Linked DNA regions of Oreochromis niloticus. The protein of the gene in region 1 purifies or fractionates together with the protein of each later gene. This does not show direct contact. Links are inferred from orthologs where the notes say so. Each region holds a gene or a part of one and is shown in the gene's direction. Other genes may lie near its edges. The genes, in order: rad9a, rfc5 and clspn.

Region 1 (7,722 bases):
AGTGGTACAGTACAAAGTGAAATGAGACAGCATTCCTCCGAGACCCTGGTGCTACATATGACATATAACAGACAAACACAGGACTAGACTACGTAAAAGTGCAATGTGCAAAAAAATAAACAAGACAAGACAGTGCAACACTAAACACAACGATATAGACACAACACAGTGCAATAGAAATGTGCAAAATGCTGAGTATTGTGCAAAAATAACTTGGTGTCTGTAGGGGTGTCTGTGTGTGTGTGTGTGTGTGTGTGTGTGTGTGTGTGTGTGTGTGTGTGTGTGTGTGTGTGTGTGTGTGTGTGTGTGTGTGTGTGTGTGTGTGTGTATGAATGTGAGACACTGCATATGTGTCAGTCCAGTCACTGAGTGTTCAGGAGTCTAACGGCTGAGTCACTGACTGCAAATTACTTTAATCCAAGTACTGAAAATTGTATTTAGATTTAAAATTATCTTAGTACAACCAATTACTTCTGATCCCCTGAAATTTCTAAACAGCTAATGCAAAATTTTTGTAAAACCCCAGTGTGCAGGAACAAAACTACAAAAACTGTCATTGTCCAACAACTTATGGACCTAACTTTATATTATAGAGCAGAGATATCAAACTGATTTTACATAATGGGCCACATGCAGACCACTTTGTGTAAGAGTACATTTAATGCCTCAGAGATCTCAATATAGGAAAAAAGAAGTGCAGTTTTAACAATATGTCTCAGCTTTACAGCATAATAAGAAATGCTGCTGTACTTAATGAAAGAAATCTCTCAGCAGATTAAATTATTAAAGTTCTGTTTGCTCATTGTCCAGGCTGTCCTGGAGAAAGCTTTTGTCAATACACAGAAAATGTCCTATTTTATTTGTTTACCTTACTGTGGTCTTCTCGCAAAAACCAGACATGTCTATAGTAGATAGTAAAAGAACAGGAACTTGTGTTTATCTGTTACTTCATTATTGTATTATGAATGATTGTGGGAAAGGTCTTTATCACTAGAACAAGCTGTAAAGTTTATGAAAATACAGTTAAAAGTCAAAAATGTATGCCCTCCTTCACATTTTCCAAAGACATTCAGTGGGCCGAATTGGAGTCTTTGCCAGTTCGATTATGTTTGACTAAATTCTATTAGCAAGTATTACTGTTTAGTCCACTGCGCCACAGAACTCCACTGTTTCCCTAGAAATGTATCAATATACATAAAACACATCAATGACACACACTGTGGCAGTAGTTTAGATTAGTTTACATGGGCCTTCATGGGCCAACTAAGCTTACAAGTTAACTCAATACAACTGAAATGCTGACCAGAGCAAATTTTATAAAACCTGGTTTTTGTTTGTTGCCTGTTGTTATTTGTTTTTACCCCCTGAGACACCACCAGTCAAGTATCGGTATGTTTTTATATAGCTTTAAGGCTTGTTCTTATCTTTTGTCATTGGTCAAATTCGCACTTTTACAATTTCTAAGCTATTTCATATTCTCTACGACCTACTTTTCATGCTCTCATTTCCAGCAAGTAGAGCTCAGGTGGCATTTCCTGTACATTAAATATACTACAGACCAGTTTTGCACCACATCTAGATCACTTGATTATGTTTTTGTAGTGTTCCTCAATCTTCCTCAAGATCCAGCCAGCTAAGTCTACCTGTTTTATGAAATTACAAATCCTTCAAAATTAAAGCTACATATATGGGAGTTTTTAATAATTTATGTCTCTGGTAGGAAAAACAAAAAAGGAAACAAACTTGGCTTTGGGATGTGAGTATCTTTCCATCTTTTGTGTTAAGTTCTAATGAGAGAATCGTTCTTTATGAGTTACTTGCACAGAAACTATGTACATCTGTTTCCTTTTATAGCAGGTTATAAAAAAATCTCATCGTACACATGAAAGTTTGTAATGACATGCTGTCAGTGACAGGGTGTGTTTGGCACATCAGACCACAGACGCACATCAAAAGTAAAGATGTCCGATGGCTGGAAACATCTCAAATACTTTGCATATCTTACTGCTGACGTTTCAAAGTAAATAAAGCCAAAAAAACCTGTACGGCTTTCAGTTTGTGCCATGCTGCTAGAGTGCAGGTCTGGATGTATTTGTGCAATTTAGCATCATTTGTGTGCCTGTTACCTGATGTGGCTGTCGTTAGTGGCGTCCTGTGTGCGTGCAGGAAGCATTTTACTGGCTCCACTGGTGTCCAGTGAATGGAGGGTCCTTTCATCCTTATTTGATGCATTGATGAGGCTTTCTGTAACCTGGTTTGGGTGTGAAATCTGCGTGAAAAAACAAGTTGCAGTGTCACTTCAAGATTTCTTTTTGATGATTATATGACAAAACACACTACTCACCTCAGGTCCCTCCTCACTCTTCTGGTCTCCTATGCTTCCTCCTTCTTCTTCTTTTCCCTTTTTTCCTTGTCTGTCCTTCCATCGATCCTTGAGCCTCTGCGTCCACCTTCTGGTTTTATTCTCAGATGATCTCTGTTTCCTCCTCACGCTGCTGTTTGTTGTTTTTTGACTGTCTGTGGCAACCTGCGAATCTTTGTTTTCTGCCATCGCTCCAAATCCTCCATTTCCTACGTTTAACGCTTCATTGTCTTGACCTCCTGCGAAAGGGTCTGTGTTTTTCACGGCCCACAGGTAGGCCTTAGGTTTAAAGCCCTGCTCCTGGTTCTCATTCACTCCCATGCTTTGGGCAGCATGTGCGTTAGGAGGCATGCTTCTTTTCATTGCAGAATTGCCAAAACTCCACTTCTCAGTATCAGTCCTCTCAAAGGAAGCATCCTTAAGTGATGTGGTAGGAAACAGCTGCCCTGTTACTGTTGGGGTGATCGCAGGCTGTGTCGCCTGTCCCATAACCCTGCTATCACCAGTGTCACCATCACTGTTGTCTTTCTGGGAGGGGAAGGAAATAAAACCCCTGTCCACCCCACCTCCATGACCGGGCTGCTGTAGTTGACCAAATTTGAAGCTAAAGTTGCTGTCTGCAGCAGGGCTCCTGACCTTATTCGAAGGGATACCATTAGTACCTGGGCTGCTGTTTTCTGGTCCAAGTGTGTGCCGGTGCCCCTGGCCCTCTCTTTCCGACTGCAGCCTCAGTTTCTGCAGCATGGACTGCAGCAGGGCGTGGGAGTCTGCTGGATTAGGTGACTGAGACATCTAGGAACACAACCTCTAAGTCCTCTAAATCCAGGAGTCGCAGAAACACGTGTCAACACCACAGTGAAACCGGATAAACAAGGACGGACTCTACGCAAGTAATATAATTCGTCGCTTTACAACCAGCATGACAAGAGGAAAAATACCTTTGTGTAGAAGATATCACTCTTTGGTCCAGTTCTTGTTAGAAAGACACCTGTTATGGCTGCTTTCGCCTTTCTGAATAATCCAATCCCTTTCCATGACAATGTAGTTGCTTCATAGCAAATATGAAGAAAGATCCACCTCTTCCACTTAACCGTCCAGAGGTAGAAATCCTTCTTCTTCTTCTTCTCTGTGTAAACTGCTGCTTCTTATGCTGCCTCCACTAATCCTCGATCCTCAAGAAGAGCAGCAGAAGTCTTCTTCTCTTGTTCTGCATCAAAGAGATATAAGCTTTTGTTGTTTTCCCAATTTTCAAAAGTCTCTCGCTTTTACTAAATACCCATAGTTCCATTACACTACGGGTGTTGTAGTCACACCTCTTCTCCAGCAGCCACTTATATCACTGGTAATGGGAGGGGAGACTGTGCACGGCTGCGTTCCTCAGATCTTACAAACTGAAGCAGACCAACAAGAAAGACCAGTGAGGTGAGATAATTGTTTGCTGACTCTAACTCTCTCCCACTGTGTGTCTTTCTGCCCATCTTTGTATTTTGCCCTCCCTTCCTTCTCATTTCTCTACTTGGCACGCTTGCTCACACAAGTGCACACACACCCTCTGTGACCCGTAACTGATAATTATAGGGCGTTCTTTAAGAGCGGCCGCTATGTATGCGCCTGCCAAATTAAAGATATAGGAAAATGTCTGCACTGAGCTTTGCAGTAACCCATTTTATACCAATTCTGTGAAAAATGCTGTCACAGAGTTCTTTGCTACTGTTGTTGAAATAAAGTAGTAGATTCTCCAAACATGCAGTGTACTTCAGCTTGGAGAACACCATGCAATATTTCTTATAGGTTTGTTAGCCACCAGCTATATTGTTCCCCACTGCAAGTCATTACAAGATGCTGCTGCCCTGATAAACTCTTAACTGTTCTAACTACATTTCAGCCTACTAAAATGCATTTTAAACCATTTGTCATTACAGTAATTGTACTGCCTTCTTTCTGACTGAAGGTTTAGACTATAAGATTAACTAGGTACACTACAGTACTTGAAAAGTTACTTTCCTATTCTGACATGAACTTATTTAATAATAATCATGTTGCTGATCATTAACTAAAGTTTATATAACAATTAGTAATAATATACTTCTTTATCCACTACATTAATACCTTATTTTTTGTTTTTTCGTCACGCCATCTTTATATATTTCTAACCGGGACGATCACAAATAACCAGCCACGAAGATGCAGTGAAAAAAAGACAAGTGGCAGAATGTTCACTTGGAAACTAAGTGCGCATGTGCACTGTCAAACTCACGCCCCCTTTAAGTTGCCGTGTATCTGATTGGTCCGCACTTTGTAAGCGGGTAATGGCGGCGTAAACAACGCTGACATCGATGAAAGAGACACTGCTTAACCGAGAAAAATAAACTTAGACTGGAAATAAACGGAGTATGCTTTCGGTAGGAAGATTTGCTCTCGGTGTGGAAACGATTAAAACTCCGTCTTGTGTACTTCTCGGTGATGCTTAGCCGCTCGTTTTGGCTAACTTTTAGCCAAATGTGCTAACTTAGCGGAAAAGTGAGTTTGCAGAGATGCACTGTATCGTAACGGGAGGAAACGTGAAAGGTAGCAGACATTTCCTGCATATTAAACACAGTCTCTAGCTAGAATATGTATCATTAATTAGTTGTCGCTAATAATTATCTTGTGCGTGTGTTGGTGGGTGTGTCTGTACCGTCCAGTACTGGCCAAAGCCGTCCATTCTCTGTCCAGGATCGGCGATGAGCTGTATGTTGAGCCTCAGGAAGATGGGGTGAGCTGTTCTGACACTGACTTGCACACCATCACTTCCTCCTACAATGCAGATAGGCTTGTTGCTTCCTGTGGGTGCACACTTTGCGTCAATGAAAAAAGTTGATTTGTTGGTCTCTCTCTCTCTCTCTCGTAGCTGGCCCTGCGGTCTGTGAACTCCTCTCGGTCGGCTTATGCTTGCTTCCTGTTCGCACCACTCTTCTTCAGCAGGTGCAGAATACATGCCTGTGTTTATAAATGGCATCTCTGTGTGAGAGAAAAAGAAAGCGTGTATATGAGCTAACTTTAATCTGCCTTTTATACCTCTGTTTTTCTGTGCAGGTACTCCACTACTAGTGGGGATAACTTCCGCTGCAAGATGGCAATAAAGGTGTGAGAGAATTAGATAAGCTTCTGTTTTTCAAGGCGTTATACAGTCTGGGTGTGACATTGATTACATTTGAGTAGATAATGTGGTTCCCAAACTTTCATGATGACATAACACCCAAAGTTATTATAGCGTTCTTTTCTTTAGGAACATTTAGGATATGCCAGAGGTGTGTTTTTCACAAGTTCAGATTAGCTTTTACTACAGATATGCAACTTTGTGAAGGTATTTAAGTTCCAGTTACAATCTTGTGAAAACTAGCTTTCTCAGGTCTTTGTTACTTACAGTTAGAACTGTGAAAAACTAAGTACACCCCATGATTCAGTAGCTTGTAGAACCACCTATAGGAGCAATCACTTGAAGTTTATGAGTCTCTTACATTGTTTCAAAGTAATCGTTTTCTGTTTGACTTTACCAGTGTCTCAAATCTTTGTGGTGGAGTTTTGGCCTACTGTTCTTTACAGTGTTGCTTCAGTGCATCACAGTTTGCGGACATTCATTTATGCACAGTTCTCTTAAGGTCCCACCTCAGCAGTTCAGTTGGGGTCAGGTCTAGAGCTTAATTATTTTCTTTTTCAGCCATTCAGTTGTAGATTTGCTGTGGTACTTGGGATTCATGTCCTCCTGCATGATGCTGTTTGGGACAAGTTTTGACTGTCAGACCGATGTCCTCACATTTCAGTCTGGAATACTTTGGTAAACAGAGGAGTTCATGGTCAACTCAATGAGTGGAAGGTGTCAGTGTCCTGTGGCTGCAAAACAGGCTCAAATCATCACCTTCTCCCCATCATACCTGACAGTTGGTATGAGGTGTTTGTGCTGATATGCTGTGTTTGGTTTTCACCAAACAGAGGTCTTGTGGTTTCTTCAGTTGCAAGCCGAAGATGTGCTGCCATATTCTTTTACAGCCAAGAGAGGCTTTCTGCTGGCAACCCTTCCAAACAAGCCAAACTTGTTCAGTCTTTTTCTAATTGTACTCTCGTGAACTTTGACATTTAACTGCTAACTAAGGCCTGTAGAGTCTGAAATGTAGCTCTTGGATTTTTTTTTTTTTTTTTTTTTTTTTTTTTTTTGCAGTTTCTCTGTTCACTGCACAGTCTGTCACTGGTGTGAGTTTGCAGGGACGTCCACACCTGGAAGGATTGACAGCTGTCTTGAATGTTTTCCACTTGTAATTAATCGTCCCCACTGTGTTCAAATTATTTGGAATTCGGTTTATAACCACTGTCAGACTGCTTTGCATCAACAATGGCTTCTTTAAGATCACTGCTGACGTTCCATCCTTGGGATTGTGTTAACACACACCTGAATGCTCCAGACATGCAAACTACTCACATTTTGAATTTGATTACAAGCACCTAGCAGTAAGACGGTACTTAGTTTATCTCGGGATTGCATAGAGTCAGTCACTTGACTGTCACGGATCTCACTAAGCATGCTTACCAAAGGCCCCTCAGGCAGGTTGTGATAAGTATCACTTCAGTTACTTTTCTTTTGTTTTCTAGTCTAGTTTTAATTCTTTTTAAGCTCACAGTTAATTTTAAATAACTACATTGACCTTGCAATAAACCCCAAAGTCCCATCACAAAAAGTTCAACCACTCGATCACAAAAGATGTACTGAAACTACAGCTGCCAGTCTGATTTTTGTCTAATAGTTTGGTCAGGTTTGCATTCATGTGACCACTACCAAAATGTGAAAAATGTCAATTTTAACTTACTCTCTATATATTTTTCTTCTCCTTTTCTCACTGGTTTACATTCATTTTCAGTCTCGGTTTGCTATGTTAGGGAAATGTGGCTGATAGTTTCTTGATTACTTTGATTTTAAACATACTAAAGATAAACATCACACTTTCTTATAATGATTTTTTCTGTTCCTTGTTTTTTTTTTCGTTGTTGCTGTTTTTCAAATTAACTGCATGATGGCCGTACTTGGGCCTCCCTGATGTAACTACAGTTAGGAATAGCAGATCTTATTCTTAGGATTGAGAGTGTAGTCTTGTATCTGCTGACAGCTTCAAATGCCTCCTTTCCTGTCGTGTTACCACCCTTCGGTTGTGGTTATCTGTGTTCAAGTTTTGCAAAAACCTCACAGCTTCCTCGTATTAACAGTTGTACTTAGCAGTTATATCAGAGACTGGATTGTGTGTCACTTTTCAGAAACGGCAAACATATTGATTTAGATATCATTTGAGTGTCACTAAAATGTTTATTCGCATTGATTGCTACCAGAGTGT
Region 2 (6,964 bases), on another chromosome or scaffold:
AGCATAAAAACAGTGTGTAGCACCAGTAACATTTAAAATTTTGCAAGATCTCTTTAAGGTGGGAATATAAGTTTGTGCAAGCTGCACTTTGAAAACTCTTGTTTTAAAGGATAATGTCTCTCTCAAATTCAGTGTCAATATGAAAAATCTCTGTCTTTGTAATGTAACAACCTGTCTAACAGCCTGTGGAAGACTGAAGTTAAGCATAATTTTAAAATGACAGAGAAAGTGGTGTTTCTTGCACTCCAAATACAATCCTTTAACTCAGCTTCTGAGAGAAGATTATTTTTCCTTCAACTAACGTGTCCTTTTCATACAGGTATTAGCCATGCAGCACAGTTGCTACAAACATGCTAATAATGGATGCCAAAATTTTCTGAAAAGAACTGAACACATAGCTTGGGTATATCCTAACTTTTGGTTTAGGCAAATTAAAAAGGATATCCTTACCCTTCTTAAGTTTGGAGAAATAGGTCAAACCATGACACAATCAATAAAATCTTTCTGATAAATCCATTCACAAAAATTTGTCAGGCTAATTTTACTGGTGAAATAAAAATAATACCCCATAATGCTTATAACTAGTAATCCAGTACCGAAAGCGCTTTGCAAAGCATGCAGGGAACATAGTGAACACTTATCTTCACAGTGTAGCCTGCTCATTGCTGGCAGAGCATTTGCACTTTATATATTTAGTTATTTCTTCACTTGGATTACATTCCTGTCCCCTGTCCAGCACTTGCAAACTCCATTTAACAGCTCAGACATGAATACTTTGCAATATGTTTATGTGTTATGCACAGTCTCATATTCCTGTGGGGATGAGATTAAGTGTGTGCCACTCACAAGTGATTTCTTGGTATTTTGTTAACGTAGTATCTTAATTATTCTCCCACTAGGACTTAAAGTCTGTTGATGGCGCACACAAAGACTTAGTGGTGAGTTTATGGAGACCTTATCACTTAATGGTATTTGTTTCAATCTCATGAGACATCACAATAACATTCTTATAGGCCCTAAATGCCGTGCTGTGTCTGCAGTGCTCAATAGGCTATAGTGAGTTTGCAGTGAGCTTATCGCACTTTATGGCATCTTTATGTCCTGTAACAGCCTGTCAGTGGTAAGGGGTTTATTCGACTGGTCTAAGTAGTCTCAAAAAGGGCAGCCTGATATCTCAACACACAACATGACCATTACGTAACGCAATTTACGGAATACCCCACGGGCCAATTAACGGATAACGATATTTTGTAACAATTTCAGTAATCTGCCAGCCTTGCATAACGCAGGGCCTGGCTGCGAGAACAGATGCGCAGGCTGGCATATTGCTAATGGATTGTAAACACGGGCTGCCTATAGGCCTCGGCTGCCTCAGATATTATTCTGGTGGAGAAGAGCCACCTTCTCTCCCCGCCACCTGCAGAATGCGCAAGTCTATAACAGCTCACTGCAGCCCCTTGGCCTCTTGATTTATTGCACTGCACAAAACAGATAGCAGTGGGCTTTAGCTGAAATCGTTGCATATTTATGCAGTGGCAGCAGAAAAGCAGTCTGCCGTAGAAAAGACACATAAAAATTATGCATAGTGGCCTTGAAATAAATAACAAACGGCGGCAGCCCGCCACCCCCCCATATTGATTTGGATGTAGATGCACAGCAGAAATCCGATGATTCCGCTCAAAGGGTGCTTACCTCCAGCGTTCGTATCTCTTTTTGTGTCAAGTCGTTGGATGTGGCACATTTGGTCCGTAAACCCTCCAAACTAGAAATGCTTATGTCTATCATATTTTGCACCAACTCGCACTGCTGCAAGGCTTTCTGCAAACTAAGATGCTGCTCCTCGCTTTTTGTCATCTCCTCGTTCATAGTTTTGTGAACAGTGGACGTTTTTTTCCGCTGCACTTAACAAAAAAGGAATGAATTAATTCAAAAACAAGGGGAAAAAAATATTGATGATTATTCAAGAAAGGAGCGTGGTGAAACCCACGGAACGGAGCAACCTGCAAAACGCCATGAAACGAGATGTTGAAGGTTTAGAGACGGGCTTTGAGCCGTGAGAGAGTCGACTCCATTGCAACAACAGTCCTCGTAGTTCCTGCTGTTTCATCAAGGTGTCTCTGGTTGTGGGCTAAATCAAACACAGTATGAAGATACCAAGCGGGACTACGCGGTCTGCATCCATTGGGTTCCACTTCTTTCAAATGTATGTTTGAAAAAAAAAAGAAAAAGAAGAAGAAGAAGCTGTTCAGCGCACCATAAGTAGACGCGTCGGGGAAAAGCCTGCTGGTTTTAAAGGTGCTGATGTGCGGACTGGATGCAGGTACTCCCTGTCTCCCTAGGCAGCAGCTGCATCCCGGTTCTCTCCCACCACACCGACATGTTTCCTGTCAATCAAACCCACAGCAACAGCATCGCATCGCCCAGGCACCACCGTGAGGGGCCGTTCTCGCGAGATTACAGAGCAGGGCAGAGAGCTTAATATGCTTGAAACGCCAGGCTAGGGTTAGGGACAAAACTATCCCTCTTTACATGTTTGAAACAAAGATGTCCTTTTACTGAATATGTATGATTCTATTAGTTTATTACAGGCTCATGCTGTGTGCACTCACATCCAAGACACTTATATAGCCTGCAGTCAACAGCTACAAACACTTCAAAATATTTCTAGAAAATGATTTAAATATGCTTTAAAGTTAAATGGAAGAACAAATATTCTTTTCCATTGATTCGTGTGTGACATTTAATTTTTGGCCTAGTTAGACAACTCTGTACTATGCCTGATGATGTTTGCATGTGAGTGGAATCTTCTGTTTTTTATTGTGTGCCTTATCTCATTTCTTCTTCCTCTGTGCTCAGTTTTAATTTGCAGAAGAGATCTTGATCACAGTGAAGCTCCTCAGTTAGAATATAGGTTATAATGCAGACATTACAAATAGAAACTGGATTGTTCAAAAACAGCAATTGCAAAAAAAAAAAAATATATAAACCAAACATTAAGGATTGAATGCTGTCAAAATGCAGGCTGTGATATTAAATCATTATCCTTGACTGATGCAGTATAATGCAGCCTGGGAATCAGGATGCTTTGGAGGTTTCCAGCAACAAATCTGAGAAGTCAAGACGATTAAAGAGATAGGAGATGGTACACAAAATCTTGTGTACTTGTGTGCTCACAGCTTTTTTTCACTAACCCATGATGATCAAGAAAATGTTTCAGAGAAACCTGTTGTGTAAAGTATAAGGTTAGGTAATATTTCAAATTCAGGCTCTAGATAAATATATGGGCACACTGCACTTTTTGAGATATGGACAGATATGTGTATTTTACTGTCAGCACCATTACCAGAAGAAAATATTCCACATGTAACAGAAAATAAATGCAAAAAAATGTAGAAAACATTTCTGACACTCTTTGTCATGTTTTAAGATGGTTAAATATTAAAAGACTCTATTTTGCAAGAACAATTGTGAAGCTTACAAAGATAAACTATAATGAGATTAAGATGTCAGTGTCGTATAAAAGTGAACAAACTACATCTAAGAAGGAAAGGAGTAGACTTTATTTTATTTTTTTTAAAATTTAACAAGACGTTTAGTGCAAGTGACTTTTATTTTAAAAATCAAGATAGCCAGAATACTTTTTTTCTTTTGTTTAAATTGGTGATTCAGACTTCAGTACCATATGCCATCTTTAAAGACTTCTAGTTCTTGCTGTTGGATAAAAAAACAAAAAATCTACTGCTGAGTTTGATTTTCATTTTCACTGATTAAGGAAAGGAATTGTTCAAAATGGGAGAGACAATATTTAAAAATGAAAGAGGAGACATATACCTTCGTTTTTATGATGTTTGATATTGTGTATCTTTTATTGTTACAATTTCTAAATCCCGTTATTACTTTTTACAGAAGAGAACGAGTCACCGATACTCCGCCCATGAAAACGACAATGTGATTTCATTGGTTGTACGTGGTGACGTGTGACGTACGTTTTGTTTGCGGAGCGCGCCAAACAGGGCCATCAACAGTAGTAATCGCAGTGGCTTAAACTCTGGAACCCTTTAGCTCAGCTTGGCGTAAAATTCACGCTTGGTAGGATACATGGCTTCTACAAGTAAAGCGCCGCTACAGACCAGAAATTTACCATGGTGAGCTGAAAGTCGCTGTTTATCACAGAATGGTTCAAAAAGTTATTGCTAGCTAGCTAACATGCCTACTGTCAAGCTAGCTGCTCACTGCACTGAGTAGACTGATGCATTCTGTGAACTGATAGCTTTATGTACATTTAGAAATGACGTTAGTTATTACGCATATTTGTAAAATGGAAGGAAATGAACTTATCTTCAGTTCGGCTTACATAAATCTTATCAGTCCATCAAGCATTAACATGGTGCCACTTCAGCAACAGGTTAACCGAAAACCTGCAGCTTCTGACTGCGGTGAAAGTGCTGTAAGGTTGACGTTTTGTTTATAATAAAGGGTGATATTACGAAAAAAAATAAGGATGCCGAACTAAAAAGTGGGCATCTGTAATGGGATATGTCAACGTTTGTCAGCGCTTATCATATGTATCCGTAGACGTTTCAATAATTTGCTTTAAAATTCATTCGAGGTTGCTTATTTGCCATGCTGTAAACTCAGTAGTTATCGCAAGTATGAATGCGTGTGTGTGTTTTCCTGTTTCAGGGTTGAAAAATACAGACCACAGACACTTGATGATCTGATTTCACACAAAGATATTCTGAGCACTAGTAAGTATGTGGACTGCCAGAATAACAGTACTATAAAACTGTATAACATGACACTTATGGATAAGCAAACTACTTTTAAACCTTAATAAACTGATAAACTCAATGCTATCTGTCAGTGTTTTTGACTCCTGAGCTTGTTTACTGTGGTTATACCGTCACTGTCATTAATGAGTCATGGTACTGAGTCAACTTGCTTAAAACTTTTGTGTTTCAAATTTATAGAACTATTCAAGGGGGGTGCATATGTGGATTGTTAAAGAAACGTCGGTCACTTGTATTTAAACTGATTTTCATTTGTTCTTTTTATTTCCAGTCCAAAGGTTTATCAGTGAGGACAAGCTTCCGCACCTTTTGTTCTACGGCCCACCTGGAACGGGAAAAACCTCAACCATACTCGCTTGTGCCAGGCAGCTGTACAAAGAGAAGGAGTTCAACTCTATGGTGTTGGAGGTATGTTACAACTCCTCATTAGAAGATTTGGATTTGCTGAATTGTAAAGGTTTTTTAACTTGTAACTCTGCCATTTTACATTAAAATATAATTAATTTTGCTTTATAGCTCAATGCATCTGATGACAGAGGTATTGATGTAGTACGAGGTCCCATTCTGAGTTTTGCCAGCACCAGGACCATCTTCAAGTAAGACTAAAACACTTATAGAGATTTTGATCAGAAATAAGTGTTCTCAGTACTTTTACATGCAGTTAAGAAGTGCAGTGGAAATGTAAGCTGCTGCCTTTTTTTATTTATCTTGTCCTTCAGGAAGGGCTTCAAGTTGGTGATACTAGACGAGGCCGATGCCATGACCCAGGATGCCCAGAATGCATTGCGTCGAGGTAAGCCATCTGTTCGTTCAGGCACTACCCACTGTGAGGCACACGGCTCAGTGAGCAGGCAATTTGGCTGCTGCTGACTTACAGTGTATCTACTTTTAAACCTGGATATTTATTTAAAAAGCTTTGCTTTCCAGAAGAGTGGAAATAATTATTGAATTTAACTGTAAAATATTTTGTAAATTTAGTCCAACCTGTGTTTTTCTAATAATGTTTCCATATTTCATTTATAAAGCATCTATTGCTGTGCAGTGCTGTTTTATAGTTCTAAATAGATGCATGGTGAAGGAACAGTGGATGGTATTATTAGTATATTACTGTCAATTCTAAATTCTCAATGAGGTGGTTTACGAGTGTCCTGCACAATCTTAGCAACATTTAGCAAGTACTTAGGATAGATTATTCAAAAAAGTGGATTTTTTTTTTTTATTGACTAAGATGTTGCCAGAATTTACATTTTAAACTTGTTTCCCTGCTTTCATCCCACCCTTGCTCTCTGTCTCAGTCATTGAGAAGTTCACAGAAAACACTCGATTCTGTCTCATTTGCAACTACCTGTCCAAGATCATCCCCGCCCTGCAATCTCGCTGCACCAGGTTCCGCTTTGGTCCCCTTTCGCCAGACCAGATGATCCCTCGGTTGGAGCACGTTATCCAGCAGGAGAAGTGAGTTAATGTGTGAATGCTTTCTCTCCACTTACTGTTGTTTTTTTCGTTTTTGTTTTTACATCTCATTGAATTATTCCCAGAATTGCTAATGAACTTGACAAATGTATTTGTACCTGTTGGCCTCCACTGGGCTCCGCTAGTCTGCCTATAGTGAGAGAAATAATTATTTGATCCCCTGCTGAATTTATAAGTTTGTTCATTTCCTTCTAAATGAACATTCTCTATTTTTATGGTAGTTTAGAGACAGACATAATACCAACCACATTAAAGGTTGTTTAAAATCTAGAGTCTTTGTTCTTATGTTACGTTTCTGTTGGGTAATTTTTAGAAGTTTAGGGCTTCTCTGTGTGTTTGAAAACAGTTTAAATCAGGGGGCAACATCAACCCTGTCCTCTCAACTGTACCAAGCCCTGAAAAACCAACAAATACCACAATAGGAAATGAATTTTCTCATTGTTTCACATTTATTGGTACATGTAACTTGAGATGGAAGAAATTAATGAACGGACTTGGAACTATTTTTGATTGCTCTATTTATTAAATGTCATCAGTTATGTGTTCATGTCGCAAGTTTTAATTTAACTTTGATATGATTTAAAAATAGTTGATTATGTCATTACTTTTTGTGACAGTATTGACATCACGCCAGATGGAATGAAGGGTATCGTGACCTTATCAACAGGTGACATGAGAAGATCGCTCAACATACTGCAGGT
Region 3 (7,728 bases), on another chromosome or scaffold:
TGATTTTAAATGCAACACAGGATGTCTTGCTGACCATGTTTACCATTATGAATTAATGCATTTTCCAAATGGGAGCACAGCCCATCTTATACTTCAAAATTACTACACTTCTTCCCAGTTTCACTCAGTGTCCTCCAGGCTTTTGTCTTTTCACTCATCTCTGCATATTCATCATGCTGTGTGACTCCACCACAATTTCGAGACAACAACAACCCAATTCTGAATTCTGTCACTGAATAGGCCACTCACTGCTGCATTTCACACCTCTAAGAACAGACAGTTGACCGTCTGCTTTACATCTTTCCTGTGTTTGAAGAAATCCCCACCACTGTACAAGAGTATTGCTGAAGCACGACTAAACAGGAGACAGCAGACACACAGAATGGGCTACAAGTCATTACTGTAACTAATTTAGAAGACTTAAAAACTGCAATTAAGGCCATCACAATATTAAAGCTTTGTGTTTATTTTGGTCATAAAGAAAAGAATGATATTAAGCGTGTATAGAAATTTTGAAAAAGACAGCAATTATGCCAAAGTATTAGGTTATTTGGGTGCTCTCTCCAATATTATGTTGTCTTTACCTTATAATGTTAAGTATCTTAAGGTGACATAGCTCAAACACAACTAAATAGAACTGCCAAGAGTCTAACTTATTTCTAATCCATTCAGATTTACAGTTACTTCAACATAATCACCATTATGCATTCACTATTCACACCTGCACCATGACCAGTTCGCATTATATTAATATTATCATTAATAATTCAATATTAATAAGATTCAGCATTGCCTTTGAAAAGGGCAACAAAGCTTTACAAACATCCCAAAAAGAGAAATTCTAGAGCAGTGTTCACAGATCATATTTATATTTATCACAAAAATCTCATTGTTACGTCTGCATCTATGAATGTGTAAACAAAGGCTTTGATAGAAAATCTCAATTCACACTCCACAACCTAAACACTTGCTGTAGCAAGGTACAGACAGCAGGTACAATAAGCAATCACTAATGTATAATAAAAAACGCTGATTACTCATTATTTCATTTCATTTCATTATGTGCAACAATGATCCAAACACACCCCTGTAGGATAGACAGGCTGTATTGTCCCCAATAATCCTGGACCCTCACAGCTTCTTGCATCCATTTAACAATTTCTGCAGGAGCACATTTCCTGCTTAAATAACACATCTAGTGCTTCCTAATGCCACCACCTTTCTTCTGTTGCTTGCGGGGGAAATGTTTGGTCATTTAGAAAGTCAAAAAAATAAATAAATAATAATAAACCATGTCAATGCTGTTGCATGAAGACTGGTTTTTTCTGTTGCAAGATGCTTCGTTTATGAAAAGGCGCGTTTCCCACACACACACAAAAAAAAGAACACAATGTCTCCAGTGGGGGGGAAAAAATATGACCTAAACATATTTTGCAGCTTTGTGACAATAACACTGCATATTGGACTGCTGACCGCACAGGTGCATGATTTGACTTCCCACTGCATGCCTTTATTGCATCAAAATACGTGCCTTTGTTATCATATAGGAGACTATAATGGAGCTGGCCTGCAGATCTGATCGATAAGAGCGCCATCCATCCCTGCTGTGCTCTCACGGGCGCATGGCTGCTGCCCAAGGAGAGGCGCGCAAACCAATGACCACCTCACATTAAAAAAAACACAAAATCACCACATCTGCCGAGTAAACATGTGTTTTGTTGGCATTCATTTTGTCTTCCCAACCCATCGCTGTCATCTTGGACGGGCGGGGAGGGGGGTGTAAGAGACGAGCTTGCCTGCTCCTGATGGCGATGGTGCAGGCAGATTTATATGATTTAACTGAGAGGGGGATTTGGCAAAAACACGTTATATCCCGCCGTATTTCGACGCAAACGCGCGGTCCCCTTGAAGAAATCGGGTCGTAAACGCGTGAAACGCCGAATAAACACAGCGAGAACCAAACAACGTAAACACAGCACGACGCGGAAGGAAGGAGGAAGGAAGGTCCCAGTTAAATCCCCACTCACACAATGCCAGCCCCGACACGACGAGTAGAGCGTGCCTGACATAAATATAACCCTCGGACACGGCGGGAGACTGGATAAAAACAACCCCCTCCGGTACTAACAGGAAAAAGAGCCCCCCTGGTTCGATGTAAATAACGTACTACGAGTACGTACACAAACACGGGCTTGGGCCTCGGCTTGTTTTCCCGTCACAGCGAGGCCTCGCTGCAGCCGCGGCCCCCAGTGAAGCGACGCATTTGCGCACACGCGCCCCACACACGGCTCGCGCTCCCAGCTCCTCGCTCCGCTCTCGCTTTCTTAAAAATCCTTACCGGGTCCGAGCGCTTCCATGGCCGAGGCCTCTCTCTCCGTCTCTGTCCCGGCCTGGCGGCTCCGTACCGACGCTGAAATTGGGGGCGGTATCTCGAAGCTTGAAAGTGGCTAAATTTAAGAAACGGGAGTATAGATAGACGCGTGGACGACTGCTGACTGGGCTGACCTGAACTGAGCTACCGCTGCCGCTGCTGCTCGTTCTGAGGATTTGGATATGCGCATGCGTCGGTTACAAGTGGCGAAAATCCACCGTAGGATACCGCGGAGATGCAAGCAGTTGCTTTTGCTGGTTATACTCTAAATTTCTTTGTTTGTGATTGAAAATTAAATACAGGCTAAACAATATAGCCTCAATAAGTATAATAACATTTTTTACACTGTACAAATTACCCTTGTATTCATTCATTTTTCTATTATATCTCCAATTCATTTTCTCATTCATTCGACGCGTGAACGTCTCCAGTGTGGGATTTTAAAAGTCCATTTCTGTCTGTAACCACAGTATATACCAAATATTTGTTACACCAAATAACAAATATCAAAGTTTCTTAATGCTTAATTAATTGTGCTGTGATACATCAAACCATTTAAAACAAATCTTGTATAAGTTTTTTTGTTTTGTTTTTTCAAACTGAGAAGCTTTTTGAAGTGATACTTTCCAAGCAAGCCACACATGCCCTGTTTTATTTTACCTGAATAAAGCAGAATAAAAGGCAGTAGCTTTTCGTCCGTTTGTGTTTTTGTAATTTACTTGGATTATATAATAAGAAATCTTTTACCTACCTACTTTTTTGAGGGGGGGTTAAGACCCCCAAACATGTTACTGTTCTAGTTTAAGATTTCAATTTGAATGTTTTTCCTTTGAAGATTTAGTTGGGACTTGTAGAAACATGGTCACAAAATAAAGATAAAGAGAAACTCAAGGCAAGATATAAAATCTGAGCATACGTACCTCTTCTAAATCCAAACCGGTCTTCATACCTCCTCCCTTTTCCGTTGCCTTGCTTTGGTAGCACATAACGCTCCAGGAACCGCCTTAAAATATAACCGTATTTTTTCTGCAACAACTCCCAGTTCATGGTTTCTGCTGCCATGACGCTGTAATTAGTTGATACGCTCAATAACAGCCCCACACGATTCTCGCTACGTGGTACCAGCTCCTTGCCCTTAGTCATTACTATTGTTGCTACTCCACCTCCTCCAGTAGGATACCTCCACACTGAAAAAAAAACCCCTGCGCCCTGCACCCCTGCTTCATATATACCTTTTTTCACCTGGACACGCATGCGCAGTTGGCTTAAATAGTCACATCTGAAAGTTCTAAAAAACTTGGTTTCAATAAAACTGAAACAATATTATAATGATAAAATGCTGTTAAAAATGATGTAAATTGGAAATAAAAACCTAATGGCCAAGTATGTGCATTCAAGGAGTAGGACTCCAGTTTGGTTCTTGCTCTGTGTGCAATGGTTCAGAGTGCAAGATGTTGACATAAATTCACTTACTGGTAAGTACATTTGGAGTGGAACATTGTGTTAGTGTCAGTTGCTGATTGATGATTACGAATTATCTGTTTAGCTATATAGTAGAGCTGAAAAAACTGATTAAAAAATCAATGTCGCTTGTTGATTAACCTGGAGTATCAGCCTTTGGGTGGGGATGTGAGTGGGGGGGGGTCAGTTTCGGGGTTAGAGAAGAAACTCGTCACAGTTATTGTTCGGTCTAACAAATGAAACCGTGGGACACTGCTAAAAATCCGAATGTTTCATTTAACCGTGTGATAGACACCACTGACAAAACTGTATTAAGCAGCACAAACCTGGAAAAAATACTAATTAAGAGAAGTCAGGGTTATGCTATTAATTTTGAGAAACAGACAACTCATAGATATGTAATTTGCATCATTAATTGGATTAATTAGTATCAACAAAGCGCTGGCTTTAAGACTTGATTGAGGAATACTGGGTTTGTAAGTAGAATTGCACAGAAAAATCTGTGTAGATGGACAGAAATGTGGAGAAATGTAATGGTTTTGAAATGTCAGGGTAGAAGTTCTGTAAAGAACAAATAAGCGATAAATGATTGAATAAAGGATATCACTCCATTATGCAATGCCATTTTCCTTGCAACGGGACAATAGAATAGCTGTAAAACGGTGCATTTCCAATAACTGTGCTTTATGATTAATTAGCATGTCAATAAGTGTTAAAGTTGTTATGATATTTGGAATTTTTTTCCTTTCTGTTTCTTCTCCAGCAACAATCCCCACTCGCCGGAGAGGTCCCGGGGTTTAAACAAACGCTTTTGCAATGCAGCGTAGTTAAATTAGGCGGGACATCTGCGCCAAACAGACCAATAGGAAATCGAGAACACTGCGATTGACGTTCCGGTGGCGAAAAACTGCGGGCCAGCTGTCGCGGCGCGCGAAACATCAAAATTTCTATTCGGTGTGTATGGAACAGGCGGGAGGAAGATAACTTTTCCGGCTAAACGCTAACTAAATGTCAATTAAAACACAGAAGCAGCGCTGGTCGCTTTGACGGTAACTTGTCCACGTTTTTTGTGGGTGACACGAGACTACGAGGTGCCGTCTGAGCCGGTTTATTTTGCAAAAAAAGAACGTAAACTAGCCAGCGGACAAAGATGAGCTTGGTGCTTTCTCAACAACAGGTCAGGCAATGCTTTGGTTTGTCAGTGATTATCTTGAACCTCTGCCTAACTTTTCTAGACTTGCATATATCACTCTGTTTCATCGGGTAGGTTTTTTTGGTGGAGATTGGCAAGATCGAAAGAAATATGCTAACTGCACATTTTGTTAGCCACCTAGCTTCCTGGCTAGGTTAGGTTTAGCTCAGCTCTTTTGGAAAGTGGTAACTGGCTTGGGCCTTTTAAAGCGTGTCAATTTGACATTTTAATTTTAAATCCTTTTATTAAAGTAAGACCTAGGGGACTCACGGACAGCCTTATCTGTTGCCTGAATGGTGATAATTAGAAACGTTGAAAGGCAGACATGCTGCTCATTGTTTGGTTTACTTCAAGGCGCCAGTCCTGTCAACGAACAACAGTTTCGCTGCCCAAAGTGACAAAAGTGACACCCATCCTCTGTGTTAACACCCTCTCCTCTGTGTTTTTGTCAAATGCAGAAACATGCTATACTGTGGTACTTTGTTTTAATGAGCTATGCAGCAATTTGGGTTGCCTTCCATTCGAAATGAATTCCTAGTGTTACTAGATTTAACAAAAGCAGTCTCACACAACATGAATCTCAATCAAGTAACCTAAACTGAACTTCTACCCCTGCCCCAGATGAACTGTTTTTCAGTTGATACTTAACCTCAAGTTTTTTTCCACTAAGTACCTTTTACTCGCCCCATGCAGCAACAATTCATGTGTATTATGTGCTACTGTATGCAGGGTGAGGGACTTCCAGTTGTGGCCCAGACTGCAACAGAGAGTGATTCAGACAGCGGTGTGGGCTCACCAGCAGAGGAGATGGCTACAGACACCTCTAACAAAAGAGAAGGTCGTCCAGGTAAAGCAGCATAACAATGAGCCACTCTGGCTGTGTAAATGAGGTATGCATTTATGCAACTGCCTGTGACACCAGAGTAGGCAGAGAAACACTAGTTACCATAACGAGCCAGTCTGACCAAAGATTCAAAGCTGCAGTTCTTGAGAAAATATACATTCAAAGGTTATAAATGAAAAGCAAACCAGTATCTAAAAGATGTCCAGTTTCCAAAGGACCACATTTGTTTGAAAAACAATAAAGGCAAAGAGTAACATATCAGTCCAAGGGAAATTCTGTAGGAAATAGTATAAATACTTTAATAATGAAGTATTTCAGTCTCCCTGGACTTATATTTGTTTTGTCTGAGGTTTCTTCAGAAGGGTTTATATCAAGGTTTTCTGCATATATTGTCCTGCATATAAGAACTCTTGGTGCTCACTGAAGATGTTTTTTTCCCTTCTACCAAAGAAATTTCATCAGGGCTGTGACATAGAGCAAAAAAACTTTTCTAAGATTCAAGTTGTCGATTTCTAAAGGTAACTTGAAAACGAATTAAACTGTTTATGTAGTAAAAACTCCATCATTTTGCCTCCAAACCACTCCCTGAGGACATATGTCCTCTTTGACTTCTGCTTTTTCTCCTGCCTGGAAGCTCCATTTTCTCCCTTTTTTATTTTTTGACCAATATGTCCAGTATCCCACTTCACATGTCCAAACCACATTAAGTTTGCTTAATGTGTTTAATTTATTTATTTATTGGTAAAACAAATATATGCATTAGAATAAAATTCTACTTGAATTTATTTTTCTCACTGTTTAGTGCAAACTCTAGTATTTTGTTTCATTACACATTGATATGAGCTGGGATTACCACTCTACCATTTCCATTCTACTCTACTTCATTCTAACTTTCTAAATTGGTTGGTTTTTCTGTCTTATTTATCAGATTCTGATGACGATGAAGACATCATGGTGCACAGAAAGCCTCACCGTAATGCCATTAGAGACAGTGACAGCGAGGAAGAGGCGGCAGCTGCAGATAGCAGTGTACACATGGCAGAAGCACTAGTTTTATCTGCTTCCAGCGGAGAGGAAATGGAGACTGAAAAGGTAGACGAGAAGGACAAGAAGAAGGAAAAGGGACGGCAGAAATGCAAGAGAATAAGCCGAGCTCCTGTTGATAGCGAGGACAGTGAGCCTGAGGAGGAGAAGAGTGGAAAAATGGAGGAGGAAGAGGGGAAAGTGGTGAAGAGGCAAGTGAAATCTGCAAAAGAAGTGAAGGAAAGAGAGAAGAGCAAGAGACATCGTGAGAAAAAGGAAAAGCGCTGCAAAGCGGTGGAAAAGCTGAAGAAGAAGGAGAGGTTCTCTGAAAGGGATGAGGTGAGTGCTTTAGTGTCTGAACTCTTTTTGGCTGGATACATCAAGGGTTCTTCTCATAACATCTTTTTTTAAAACACACATGGGCACTAATACGTCCTGTGGACTGTCTCAGCCTGGCCTGTTACATATTATAAAAAATAATAAAATCAATAAAAGTTAGAATTATGTTTTTGAAGCACAAAGTGAATGATTGTCAGCAAAGTGCACTACGCTTCACGTAGGTGAAGGAAGATTTTATGTCAAGTATGTTACATGTTAAAAGCTTATATACTATTTAAGTAGATTTTCTTTTTTAAATGTAATCTTGTGGCCTTTCTATTACTTTATTTAAGTCAGTGTGACCAGAAAAAAGACAAAGATGGCTCACTCACAAATCCTCAAATAATTGTGTTAAATGTGTTGTCAAAATTAGTTTTTCAAACATTATTTTATCTCAAAATTGGAAACCTTTGTTTTTGTTTTGTTTTTTTAAATGTCCCAGTCAGATGATGCTTTTCA

What was found.
Region 2: the proteins of rad9a (region 1) and rfc5 purify together in Homo sapiens (affinity purification with mass spectrometry; 3 studies listed by BioGRID and IntAct, with this or other methods). This does not show direct contact. The link is inferred for Oreochromis niloticus from reciprocal best matches to the Homo sapiens genes RAD9A and RFC5.
Region 3: the proteins of rad9a (region 1) and clspn purify together in Homo sapiens (affinity purification with western blotting; 3 studies listed by BioGRID and IntAct, with this or other methods). This does not show direct contact. The link is inferred for Oreochromis niloticus from reciprocal best matches to the Homo sapiens genes RAD9A and CLSPN.

What each region holds. Positions count from the first base shown.
Region 1 is NC_031966.2:22,445,432-22,453,153, reverse strand, and holds the start of rad9a (cell cycle checkpoint control protein RAD9A), read left to right. Parts: upstream 1-4,660; 5' UTR 4,661-4,896; coding exon 4,897-4,930; intron 4,931-5,023; exon of another isoform or gene 5,024-5,046; coding exon 5,047-5,117; exon of another isoform or gene 5,118-5,240; intron 5,241-5,252; coding exon 5,253-5,326; intron 5,327-5,437; coding exon 5,438-5,486; intron 5,487-7,722. Other genes in the region: uncharacterized protein zgc:113229, read right to left, coding at 2,127-2,269, 2,345-3,154. UniProt on the Homo sapiens protein: Component of the 9-1-1 cell-cycle checkpoint response complex that plays a major role in DNA repair. The 9-1-1 complex is recruited to DNA lesion upon damage by the RAD17-replication factor C (RFC) clamp loader complex.
Region 2 is NC_031977.2:30,125,035-30,131,998, forward strand, and holds the start of rfc5 (replication factor C subunit 5), read left to right. Parts: upstream 1-3,953; 5' UTR 3,954-4,098; coding exon 4,099-4,145; intron 4,146-4,683; coding exon 4,684-4,748; intron 4,749-5,061; coding exon 5,062-5,198; intron 5,199-5,306; coding exon 5,307-5,386; intron 5,387-5,509; coding exon 5,510-5,583; intron 5,584-6,085; coding exon 6,086-6,245; intron 6,246-6,880; coding exon 6,881-6,962; intron 6,963-6,964. Other genes in the region: ksr2 (kinase suppressor of Ras 2), read right to left, coding at 1,693-1,866. UniProt on the Homo sapiens protein: Subunit of the replication factor C (RFC) complex which acts during elongation of primed DNA templates by DNA polymerases delta and epsilon, and is necessary for ATP-dependent loading of proliferating cell nuclear antigen (PCNA) onto primed DNA.
Region 3 is NC_031985.2:14,063,159-14,070,886, reverse strand, and holds the start of clspn (claspin), read left to right. Parts: upstream 1-4,709; 5' UTR 4,710-4,982; coding exon 4,983-5,009; intron 5,010-5,753; coding exon 5,754-5,871; intron 5,872-6,796; coding exon 6,797-7,230; intron 7,231-7,728. Other genes in the region: ago4 (protein argonaute-4), read right to left, coding at 3,292-3,514.